Linked DNA regions of Kluyveromyces lactis. The protein of the gene in region 1 interacts with the protein of each later gene in a biochemical or structural test. Links are inferred from orthologs where the notes say so. Each region holds a gene or a part of one and is shown on either strand. Other genes may lie near its edges.

The links.
Region 2: the proteins of SCC2 (region 1) and SMC1 are reported together in a solved structure, tested with the Saccharomyces cerevisiae proteins (2 studies listed by BioGRID, with this or other methods). The link is inferred for Kluyveromyces lactis from reciprocal best matches to the Saccharomyces cerevisiae genes SCC2 and SMC1.

Annotation. Positions count from the first base shown.
Region 1 is NC_006040.1:1,530,486-1,537,978, reverse strand, and holds the start of SCC2 (cohesin-loading factor complex subunit SCC2), read right to left. Parts: upstream 4,398-7,493; coding exon 1-4,397. Other genes in the region: pseudouridine synthase PUS5, read left to right, coding at 4,752-5,651; NVJ3 (Nvj3p), read right to left, coding at 5,578-6,885; CSN9 (Csn9p), read left to right, coding at 7,178-7,493. UniProt on the Saccharomyces cerevisiae protein: Plays a structural role in chromatin and is involved in sister chromatid cohesion. Forms a complex with SCC4 required for the stable association of the cohesin complex with chromatin, which may act by hydrolyzing ATP from SMC1 and SMC3 heads.
Region 2 is NC_006040.1:642,173-647,711, forward strand, and holds SMC1 (cohesin subunit SMC1), read right to left. Parts: upstream 4,311-5,539; coding exon 579-4,310; downstream 1-578. Other genes in the region: oxysterol-binding protein related protein HES1, read left to right, coding at 1-353; KLLA0_D07524g (uncharacterized protein), read right to left, coding at 4,846-5,253. UniProt on the Saccharomyces cerevisiae protein: Involved in chromosome cohesion during cell cycle and in DNA repair. Central component of cohesin complex. The cohesin complex is required for the cohesion of sister chromatids after DNA replication.

The DNA of each region.
Region 1 (7,493 bases):
TCTATTTCTTCATTTGTTAGATTCTCGAAAACGATACTTTCGATAGCTAGAGGGGAATCTGAAATTGTGCTAATTGACCTACCTTTCAATGTCGCTTCTTCCGGAGTGCCAATAAACGACAGTTTTTCCGATGAAAGATTGTGTATACTTATCATGTGGGTTTTGAAATTAGACATGATCTTTCGCCTTTTGATCAGGGAAAATGCTTTCGAATTCTTTTCATCGTCCTCTTGAATACTTAGAATATCTTGTATGGTTTCGTCAATCTCATCAATTACTAGAGACATGGTACTCAAGAATTCGTAGAGCTCATAACTATCTCCGTAATCAATCTGACTCATGTTGTGCAATAAGAAAAGTAGCTCGGTGTTGCTAACAGAATGTGTTTTATAACATTCTGATATAGTAAGATTTTTGACAACACTTACGTATTTTTTGCCGTTTTTTTTGTTGTTGGATAATATGCACTGTAGGCGTTTCATGCAGTGATCTTTGCGCTCCAACTCTGATGGGAGCAGGCTCTTGAAAACAACACAGCACTTTTTAAATCCAGCGGCAAGACCGTTAAATACCATACTCTCATACTGTTCAAAAATCGTGGACAACAGTCTGGTCGACACTGTTTTTACTGAGTTCGCGTCTGAACATGAAAGAGCAATAAGTGTAGGAACAGCATGTGACGGATTGGTATAGTGAAAATTCAATGTGAGCTGTAGAAATTTGATGGCAACAATAGCATCTTTTATATCCGATAGCAAACATAAATCCATGATGCTGTCAAGGTATCTGGTAACTAATGCTGAACAGACGCCATCATTGACAGACTCGGTAGTGTTTTGTGTTGATATCAATCTCCTCATCTCTGAACTTGATGATATGGTACCGTTCGCCCCTATTTTCATTAATACTTTCTTTTCCTCACTAGAGAAGAACACTTGTAAACAGTCAATGATTGTCAGTTTAGTGTCTAGGACACCAGCTTCGAACTCATGATCTAAAACTTTTAGAACAGGTGGAGAGTTGAAGAGTTTGGGAAAAGATGACGCCAATTTCACTAGGTTCTTGATCGCAATTTTTCTCAGAGGAGTGGCTAGTTTCTTATTTGTGAACGTAAGAAGGCACTTTGTAACGTACTGGTACAAGTGTTCGTCACCTCTGAGAAATTCTAACCTTTTTTCGTTTTCCTTAAAATGACACATGCGAGCAAACCCAGTACATAAATAGATAAGTCTTTGGACTTTTCCATCAAGCTTCAAGGAACTTGGTGCGGTCACAGCCTGGGTTACATAGGGACGTAATTGCTCGATGCATGAGGCACATACTTTTAGAAGCTTATCTTCCTTTCTTGTTTTAGTTGAGGTCTCCCAACAAATTGCCAAAGCCTCTTCGATTTCTCTCGTATTGAGCTTTGAGAGTTTCGCAAGTAGGGTGGTTTCTAGATCGTGCAAAAATTTGAGCTTGATATTGCTATGTTTCTTAATGCAGGAGCGAAAGACCTTCAAAAGCAGTAAATAACATTTACCGTTAAAGTTTGACGAAAGATATGGAAAGAGTGAGTAGAGATGCGGTTTTGATATGAAATTGATCGGACAATTGGCAAAAAAATAAAGTAGGTCATATCTATTTCTTGCATTCGATTCACTCAGTTCGTCTGCAGATGCTGCATTCTCAGTAATCTCTTCAATAAGTACATTAACAAGATTTCTTAAAGCATCAAATATCGACTTCGTATCTTCATTCTTATGAATGGAGGGGTTCAATACGAAAAAATGAAAGAAGAACTCCAACAGTTCCTCAGTCTTGCCACCATAACCGATGAGTGTTGATAATAGCTCGAGGGTTTCTGATAAATCAAATCTATGCAGTTTTACGGACAAGTCAGATGCACTATGTCTCAAAATTAGTCTATGAAGTAATAGTTTCCTGGCATTTTCCACGATAACATCCTCTTCATCCTCAATTCGTCTCAAGACTTTTTCTAAAACGAATGTCTTTATTTTCAGGTCGGAACTTGTATCAAGAATCTTTTCATTCATCCGCATAACATGTTTTCGAACTGCTATACTGTCATCGTCAAAGTTACAGTTTATTTCTCGGTAGAATTGAATGTAGGTTGTGGCCTGCTCTAGAAGATCCAAAATTGCATCTCTAACGGAAGCCGAAGAGTCATAGAGTCTGTTTTTTATGGTTTCCTGAACAAAAGGAGTATCTAACATCTGAGGATCCTTTGATACTAATAGGGTCAAACATTTAACTGCTCCTGATTTAAGTTTTACTTTTTGTTGATCCAATAACGAAAGAATGAGCCTCAAAGCGGGTTCATAAAAGTTAAACAACGGACTAAGTGAAACAATTTTCATGTAAAGGGACCGAACTCTTTCATTACCATCGATACCATTATTTATTTCTTTCTCGCTTATTTCTTTCTCGCTTATTTCTGTCTCCCTTATTTCTTTTGCTATTATACGTATAACAAAATTCATTACCTGTGCGTCTGTTTTGTCTATCTCCTTCTGATCTAACATCTCACTGATATAAAAAAGTGATTCATTCCACAATGCTCTATCGGAAAAATATGTCTTGGTCTGCGAACCCAACCAATCGAAACACTCTTTGTACTCATTTTGCAAATTAAATATCCTTTTTACATCCCTACTTTCCTCGGATGCAGCCCTCAGTTTAACGTCTGTCAAAGTGGCAGTAATTTGGCCGACAAGTTGAATAGCAAGCACTTCGAAGTTTCCTGTTCCTTGATACGTAGGGCTGAATATCTGAAACAATTTCGGCAAAAAAGCTTCTAATAAATGATGAGAATACGCCCATTTCGGGTTTCCTATCATAGTTAGCAAATCTTGGATGTAAATCTCCACAATTGATTTGAATTTGAAAGGATTCGTAATCAATCCTTCGAATAAAGTTGTTGTGACGTTATCGATTAGTCCTTTCAATTCCAAACTTGCGGCATTATTCTCGGACAGTACATTTTCAAGCAATTCAGACGTAAAATCTGACAATAGCTCAGCATCAGGCAAAGCATTTATTGACTGGAACATGGCAACAAGGGCGACAGTAAAATACGATGCGTAGCCATTCTCAAATTCATCGACCAATTTCAGTTTTTTAGTGGATTTTGAGACTACTATATCATGCACGTGTGATAATAATTCTTCCGTAATAAATAGCCGCTGAGATGGATACTCAGAAAAAAGTGATATTAATATTCCAAGAGAAAGGTCTTTTATCCGCTCCGCTTGCGATAAAAGCACATTAGTGTTTAAGTGTTGATAGCATCTGTGTAGTAGCATATCACAGCAAATGCACACTGATTTGATCAAAAACATTTCGTCCAAGTATGATTGAGAGGCGACAAACTTTTCCAATAAATTGATGAATAAGAATATATTTCCAATATCTGCATTAATACCTCTTGAGTTGTCCGAAACATGTAACTTCTCGAGCGCATTATCAAGCGCTGAGAACACAGCATTGTAATATTCTTCTAACTGAAGGTTTGCGGATTTGAGATCTATCATCATAACTTCAAGAATTAAAAATGCGCAACCAAACGTAAGGTTATTCAGATCTAAGGACTCAGATTCATTGTCTGATTGATATGCTAGGATTCTTTTGATATTTCTAGTGCAAAGACCCAGTATTTTTTTAAGAGATTGAACATCAATATACTCAAATACCATCGGAAATCCTAGAACTTTATTTATCGTCAACGATATTGCATCTATAGCCTCCGAAGTAGCAACGTAAACATCACCTAATGGCTTCCAGAATTTAGCGTTTTCATTAACACTCCCTTCAGAATTGAGTCCGACAGAATCTAACAATTTCGAAAGATGATCAAGACAAAGTTTTCCAACTTCCAAGTCATTCATCGGATTAGATTGTACACAAATTTGAATCCGTTTGGAATCCAGCTCATTCAGCAATACCTTGTCTTCCCCTGCTTCTAGCCTTCTTTTTTTAGTAGCTGTGTTCTGATTTCCAGCAACATTCGCAACAATACTAGCAGAATCGACCAGGCTTGTAACAGTCAGGCACCTGATTCCTAGCTGTGGAAGATTTTTCAGAAGCTTCAGATCAGGAGCAGTTTCTTGAGACTCATCTCTTAAAGTAATATTATTGGGTCTCCTGAATAAAATGGGGTCCCTGTCGCCTTCGTTAAATGGGTCGAAATCGATAGGGTGAGGGTATAGCCAATGTTCAGATGGGGGTGAACCGAACGCACTGTTACATGAAATACTGATATCTTCGGTTATTGAAGAACTCAGCAAATTAGATAGCCCTGACTTCGGTACTATGTGGTTAATTGGCTGGTACTTCAGTGTTTCAGAGATGCGTTTGGGAATCTCATTGTCAGTTTCGCCTGGAAACCCTTTCGCCATAGCCGCCACTGCTCAGTAATCAGAATATTACTGGAAAGGCAGTATTATTTGAAGAAGATGATAATGCCCAGAGAAAAGCAGATGAAATAGAGCTTCCGGGTGTAAACTATCTGCTGTTGCTTCTTTCAACTTGATGAAATCGTTTGACCGTTCATTGCTGTAGAGATCTAGTATTCGTCTCATTAATTATTTATATATCTATTCGGCTTTCTTGATTTGAAAAAGGCTGCTGCAGTTTTGAGAAAAATATCATGAGAATGATGAGGGAAGCATAAGTAGTCATGAATGTAGCTGAGAGGAGAAAACCGTTAGTTCCTGTACATCTGCATTGCTTAAATCATAGTACTAATTGATATGCTACGTAGAGGCTTCATAAAACAACCCCCTTTCGTGAAGATCTTTAAAATCGTCTCCCCGGAGTCGACAAACGCTAAGGCTACACATTGTGAAGTGGAATTCCCTTTAAAAGTACAAGAGCTCTGGCGTGACAAGCACCACGTAATTTTTAATAAGCCACCCTTGGCCCTTTCTCAATTACCTGACAAACGAACGTGGTACAATACTCACGACTATGATCCCCCAGTGTTATTGGATATTGTTCAAAGCTCTAGTGGAAGCATCCTGAAGGACGGTACATATGAACCATCGTACTACCCCATCCACAGGATTGACACACCAGTATCCGGTGGAATAGTATATGCTGTAAACAAACAGTCAGCACAACAATTTAGTCGAAATCTAAGGTATGGCGGGAATAAAGGATTCTCACTAACTAGAAAGTATGTCGCAAAAGTTGGAAAATCTAAGACTGCGAATGAGTGTAAAGAAGGTCTCATAAAGTGGAATGGTGCAATCACATATTTTCAGCGTGTCGACAATGAACACCTAATTTTACAGTTGGTAACTGGGAAGAAGCATCAGATACGGAAACTTACACAGCAAGTTCTTGATTCGCCAATTTATAATGACTTGAAATACGGTGGTAAGAAGGTTTTTGACAGTGACTTTCAAATCGCATTACATTCAGCTTATATACGGACAAAAATTGGTTTTAATATACATGAGCAAATCATTCCCGTTCCAGACGGTTTTAGAATGATATGGGGAGAATCTGTAGACCAAAATGGGAACTTCAATGAAGATATAACCCGAGTTTTGAAGGAAGATTGGGCTGGAACAATCAAGGAATGTTTGAAGAAGCTGAAAATACAGGAAACGAAGTTAGCAGATAATCAACTAATCTTTGTATCATGAATTGGTTGATTTTTCTATCATATGCCAAAGCATCTATAACTAAGTCGCAGTCGTTTGAATCAATGCCCAAAATCTTGTCAATATACATTTTTCGGCAAACTTGATTTAATGCTGTTGAAGCTTCCTTCTTCATAATCACGAATTCACTTGCGCTTGGTGCAGTCTTGACAGGACCCATTTTGTTGTCATGAGGAAAGAGCAAATGTCGTACTTTCAAGCTGGAGGAAATCAGCCACTCTCCACTGAGCACCCTCTGTGTCACAATGTTTTGGAATATTTGAGATGCTATATTTGAAACAAAGGCAATCTTGGTGCCAAAAAATTGGGAAACTTTGAACGCTAAAAACAGTAGTGGTTTTCTCGTTTCTAACTGAAAACACTCATTCATGGCAGAAAAGAAATAGTGATTGAAAAATCCACTGTCGGGTTGATCAATTCTTCGAAGAACGTGATTAGTAGTTACCTCTTTATTGCTCAATTGAAAAGTGGACCATAATTTATGCATCATTTTTTGAATCCAGTTTTTTCTATCCCTTAGCTTACAGTTCTCTGCCTTTTCCCTGAGAAGACTCTCGCAGATAGATTTTACTATGTCTATCACTATGAATGGCTCTGCAATCTTCTCAGTCAACTTGTCTAGTAAAAAATCACCGAAGAAATCTCGTAAAAAGGCATTATGCAATCTTGAACCACTACTGAATCTCTCAACTATAATTTCAGCAATCGCATGGGGGTAAGTATGTTTGTATAATTGTAGCTGGTAAAAGTCATCTAATAACAACTGTTCTTGTAGCACTCTTCTCATTATCTTAACTTGTGTTTCTACAAATAAGGGTAAATCATCACATATTACTTGCTCCCACAAAATATTTGTATTATGAATATCATCTAACACATCATCAACAAGTTCATACAGATGTACTAAAAGCTCGGTGTCCGATGTTACAATTTTCTCCCCGTACCATGAGGTAACGAAGTTTTTCAATAGTAGTACCAAGATGGCATGTAAAGGAAGTTTCCAATCAGGACATCGAAAGATCTGCGAATGGATTTCCGTCGGATAAACTGAACAACATAGTTCTATGAGATACTCTCTTGAGTCCTTATTCTGTTCTGATATGAACGGAGCGTCGTTCGTGTTGATCTTTGTATTTAGCTGCTCTGCATTGATCTTGGTTTTGCGCTGGAATCTTGATAGCTGCTTCGAATTTGAGCTGTATAATATCGTCGGCATTACGGCTTAACCAGTTTAGAGCTGACACAACCTCAATTCTTCAGTCTTATTTGACAATGTTTAACCTTTTATTTCTCAATGGAACGACCATCCTTTTTTTGTTTGACATTCACGTTTTGTTGATGTTTTTGGTAGAAATATTCTATTGCTCCCAAACCTTAGCCATAACAGAAAAACCTTAATTGTACAAGCGCAGCGGGAAAAAAAAAAAATACCTTCAACTCATTCGAGTTTAGAGTCCATAGCACAATTACTCCCAGCACTTCATCAATTAGGAAATCTTTGGTGGCTCATGATGCGTGAACTGCTACGTAACTTGATAGAAGACAAAACGGTAATAAACTATAAGAAATGGTGGATGGAATGTAAAGATGCCCAAGAAACCAAGTTATTGGCTATTCTTTGTTTTTACGATATTGATGACTTACCGGAAGAGACTACAGCAGGTCTTGATAAGTTCGTCCTGGATAAGTTACGTGTTCTATCGCTATTAAGTCTCTGTGAATTATCTACTGAAGTGAATTACCAAGAGATTAAAGAGAAATGCGATTTAAAGACTGATGGAGAGGTGGAAAAGCTGCTCATACGTGCGGAGCTGTTTGTAGATT
Region 2 (5,539 bases), about 890 kb from region 1:
AGGAACAACATCCGCTGGAATCTAGAAAGGCCTGGCAACTTGTAGCTGCTGCAACGAAATCTGGTAATTTTGATCTGATTCATCAAGAAAAAACTAAGCTCGAAGAAAAGCAAAGAGAACTTAGAAGGGAGGAAGAAGCTAAGGGAATTGATTGGCAAAGAAGATGGTTCAAGGATTACGATTATTCCGAAAAAGATCCTGACACCTTTACCAAATTAGCCATCTTGGCAAATATATCAGTGAAGAACTTACCTAGTGGAACACTGGTTTCGGAAGAAAAGAAGGATGCAAATATGTTGCATTGGAGATTCGATCACGAAAGCTGGGATAAGGAAACAGAAATTAAACTTTGAGAATAATTCACGATGATGATAAAGTGTGTATTTCATTGGTTGTAAATCTCTTTTGATTCATTATCAACTTCAGTTGGATTATACTACATAACTACGTAAGCGCTAAATGTTAAATAAATTATTAGTCTTTTAACATATGCAAAGAAGAGATCCTTGTTTAAAGTAGTACCATCTATTATGTATGTACTTATGATTTAGGTGTATTAAATTGCAAATAATGTTACATCAATCTTCATCATAATTCTCGAGATTCAAACTAACCATTCTAGAAGAGTTATCTTCTTGTTCCCGGAATATACCAACTAGTGATTGGGATTTTTCAAACATAGCATTCTTCAACGATATAACGATGAACTGGGCATTTGGATTAGCATTCCGCTTAATATAATGTGCTATTCTTTCAACATTAGTGATGTCTAAAGCGGCATCTACTTCGTCCAATACAAAGAAAGGACTGGGTTGATATGAATTGATGGTGAACAACAAAGCTAAGGCGGCCATGGTTTTTTCACCACCAGAAAGATATTCCATATCCTTAAACCTTTTCAACGGTGGGGTCGCAAAGTATTTAATTCCGCCTAAATATGGTTCGTCCTCATTTTCAACTGTTAAAGAAGCATTACCACCGGCTAGTTCGGACTTATCATGTGGATTCTTGGTCAAAGCCCTGTAGATCTGATCAATGTGTTTATCAACATGTTTGAAACACGCTTCAAATAACTCTTTACGTTTAGCTTTGACTTCAAGAAATTTCTCTTTCGCTTTTCTTTCTTTATTCCTCAGTCTCTCATTCTCATTCGATACTTGATCTAATTTGTGTTTTGTCTCATCGTATCTTTGAACAGCTTTAGAATTAGGTTGTAGAATTTCTAATTTTTCTTCCACCTTTTTAATCTCCGATTCAAACTCTTCTTTCACTTCTTCGCCATCATTTAGCCTGTACTTCTCCGGTAAAGAAGTAAAATCATACTCGAGATCAGAGATTATACCTGTATTGTTAGAATCCAAAACATCAATGGAAATATCTTCTAACGACGAATCCAGTAGCGGTAGCTCTATGTTAGAGACTTTACAATTCTTCAGTATACCTAATTGTTCAAGGTCGAGTGTTTCAATATCTTCTTTGATTTCATCCACTTTTCGTCTTGCGGCTTGCATGCTCGATTGAATTTCTGCAATATTACTATCAAATGAAATTAGATTGTGCACTTTTTCATCTAGCTCCTTTTGTTGAATGGCTACCAGTTGTTGTTCTTGTGAAATTTTTGAGTCTGCATTCTTGATCTTTTCCGTTATTATGTCCTCTTGTTTCTCTAATGAACCCAGAGCCTCTTTCAATTTATCCATGTCAGATAAGGCTTTTGTATGACGTGCCGCAGTAGCTCCCAAACGGTCCTTTTCGAATTCCAATTTGTTCTCAATGGTGAGAATCTGTTTCTGGAACTGTTGAAGCTCCTTGGAGTGCTTTCTCATAATTTCGCCAGTACCTTGTTCATAGTCTTTAATTGAGAAGCCATATTTATCGGTGAAAGGTCTAAAAATCTGTTCTTGTAAAACATCTTTCTCACTTTCCAACTTAGTTAATTTGCTCTTCAATTCTTCGATACGTTGAGTGAAGGATTTAAGCTGAGGTTCGTATTCTGTAGTAATCAAATCCTCGTTATGCTTGATTTCGACATTTTTTCCACTTAAAGTTCTTTCAAGTTGGGTGATCTGAGTTCTCAAACTCGAAATCTCATTATTTAACAAAGATATTTCATTCTCCAGCTCTCTGGATTTCATGTTATCAGCTCTGAATTTGTCTGATAGCGCTGTCAATTCTTCGGTAATTTGATCTTTCAATACCATCAGTCCTTGGTATTCATCTTTATTCCATCTATTCTGGTTTTTCTGTGCCGTACCACCAGTCATTTGTCCAGCTTTATGTATTAAAGCACCATTCAATGTCACTAGTTTGGCCTTGACATTTCTTGACCACTTTAATTCTTTAGCTAGGTCTAGGTTATCACAAATAATAGAATCTGAGCACACATATTGCATTGCCTTCTCAAGGTAGCCTTCGTATTCGATAGCATTAATAGTCAAAAGGCAGCCTTGTACGTTCGACACCGGCAATGATGGTGGATTGACGTCGATTGTATCAAGAGGTATGAAAGACGCTGAACCGGCTCTTTGCTTTTTAAGGTACGTGATACATTCGTGTGCGGTAGCAATACTGTCGACTATAATGGAATCAAAGTTTTTACCAAGTATCGTTGATACTGCAATCGCATACTTCTCTTTTTTCGGATGACATAGATCGTGTACTAATCCTTTCACACCGGGATATAATCTCTTAAGCATAGAAACATTCTCTCTTAGTTTTCTTTCCTTCTTGGTCTCTCTTTGATCAGCGTTAAGATCGTCAATTTTCAGAAGTACGTCTCTCAAGCTAAAATTCAGTTCATATTCCTTATTCTTTAGGGACTCAAGATTAGTTTGAATACCTTTCCATTCTTTAGACTTAGCAGCTGCTATCGAGTTTTTATCATTCAACCTTTGTGTTACCTCGTTGAGATCTGCTTCTAAAGCATCGACATCGACCTGTAATTCGTCACTTATGCGTTCCCTGGTTGTTTTCAGTCTTTTGTTAATAAGTTCACTCTCTTCGTTTAGTTCAAACTCGTCGTTTTTTAAGATAGCCAACTTTTCCTCGATATGAGAGCCTCCAGAACTTAAATACTTCTCTTTCAATAGCTCATATTGTTTTAAATCTTCTTCAGATAAATTGAATTTATTGAGATTGGCATGAATATTTTCTAACTCTTTCTCAAACGACTTTTTTGTTTTAGAAACTACCTTCAGTTGATTTTCGAATTGTTTGACATAAGCTTGTTGCCTTTCCATATCTTTCTTGAATGAGGATATTCTTTTTTCCAAGTTATGTATTCTCTTGATGGTAGCTAACCTCTCGCTTCCAACAGGTAGTAAAGATGACTGTAACGATGTTTTTTCATTTTCTAACTGTACGAGCGTATCTTTCAACTTACTCAATTGCAGTTCATGTTTAGCCGTTGTGGATTTGATTTTGGTCAGTATTCTTTCTTCGTCTGAAAGCTTGTTCTTCAACGCAGTCGTTTCAGTTTTTGAAACTGTTAGAGAATCTACCAGTTTCTTCCTTCTTTTAAGGATATGGAATAGTTCCCATAAAATAAAGTTATGTTTCAACTGATCTCTAATTTCTAAACTCGTTCTATATTGCTCATCCCGTTGGACACCTTCTTTAAAACTTTTCAAATCGTTTTGCACTTTTTTCCTTGAATTATGAGCGTCTGTGAATTCAGCTAAAGCCAGCTTATGCTCTTCTTTCAATTTCTCATAATCATTCTTATAGTTTATAGATCCAGAAACCTGCTCCAATAATAGCGTCAATGATTCTGGTCCCTGAGAAGCGATTCTTTCGACATCACCTTGGAAAACCAAAAAGTTTTTCGCCTTGACCAAGATGTTTTCGGATTCTAATTCCTCGTTATATTTTTTATAGCTCACAGCTCTATCGTTGATTTTGTAAACGCTATCACCAGATGTATTGATGGTTCTTGTGAATTTTGTTGGTTCATCAAGATCATCTTTTTGATACACGCAACTGACATATGCACTTCTTGGTTCTTCCTCCGAATATGTGGCATTCTCTGGACCAGCTTCCGAATCAGCGTCGGATCGGTGCATTCTCTTAGCATTGCCGTTATCTGGATCGCCATTTTCAATTCTGCCCCTGTATATCAAATCTACAAGCGCCGATGACCTTAACTGATTACTTCTCACACCTAACACAAAGGAAATGGCATCCATCAGATTCGATTTACCAGAACCATTGGGCCCAATGATGCTGGTGAAGTAAGACTCACCAAAACCAACTTGCACCGTATCCTTATACGACTTGAAATTATGCAGCTCTAACCCGATAAGTCTACCCATCTTGGAACACGAATATCTCTACAAATCAGCGAAATAAAACAAAAAATGATCACAAGTTTATTAGGATAACTTGTACTGCAACTTCAATTATAAGCGGCTTGTTGCAGCTGATGTAGATGGTAAGCTGACCGAATAAGCTACCCATCCTTCAACTAACACGAAAAATCTTAATGTAAATAGATATAAACGCCTTTCTTATTTTCATTTTCTAAATATTGCATTGACGCGTTCGAACATATCCGGGTAACTTGGTGTTTCATTATGTAACTTAATTGGGAAGTTTCCGTTATAATCCGTCCATCCATAAAGAGGACGGAGGTGCTAGTTGCACCAAGGATGTACAGAAGACAAGATCGGTATGAAGCTGACACCCTGATATACAGTTCACACGTTCTGTGGTTTTTGAAATTCAATTCGTATTATATCGGTTTTTTTTTCTGGGGTTTTGCTTTAATTAACTGCATATGATGATATACTTATATGTATATTTATATGAGGATGTCTGAGATGGATGGAAAAGTCAGTATTTGGTTCTTTACACGCCTGTTTTCATCTGAACAGGCTCCAGTTGTGGGATGCTAGCGTAGGCATTGGACGTGTCTCTGTTGTTCATCAATCTGAAGAAGTACAGGTTGAATTTGTTAATATAGAAGATGGAGACCACGCTTAACAATATGTAAGTCATTTTCAAAATGGCTTTTGGTACATAACCCCAGTTTATGGTACGATACTGGATCACGATGTTGACTCCTAGTAGGAAAATGACACCGCAGCTCAACACAAGTACAAAAGCACTTACAATCAGACCTACTGATAGTTCTTGTGTTCTTAAGGCTTCCACGGTTAAATTTTCTTCAGACTGAGACCCAACTTGTTTGTTCCTCTGGCTAATTCTCGATGAGGATGATGACGCCGATGATGATCCTTCTTGCTGCAATGACATTTCAGTGTGTTGGAGGGGTATTTTGGGAGTGCTTAAGTGGGTAAAGATTCAGTCCAATCCAAGACGCTATGCTTGAGTAGGCACTGGAATGTTGCAAGAATAGGTGGACAAAATCGAAAGAGGTACTTATATTGTGTAAATTTGACATTTTTTTCAATGTGCAACTTACTTTTTTCCTCATCGCAAAACACACCCGATTAATTCCTTGGCATAATTTTCCACACCTAGGGATGACCCTATCTTGATAAGAAGACATAGATAGGTAAATGTTGAGAACTGTATATGT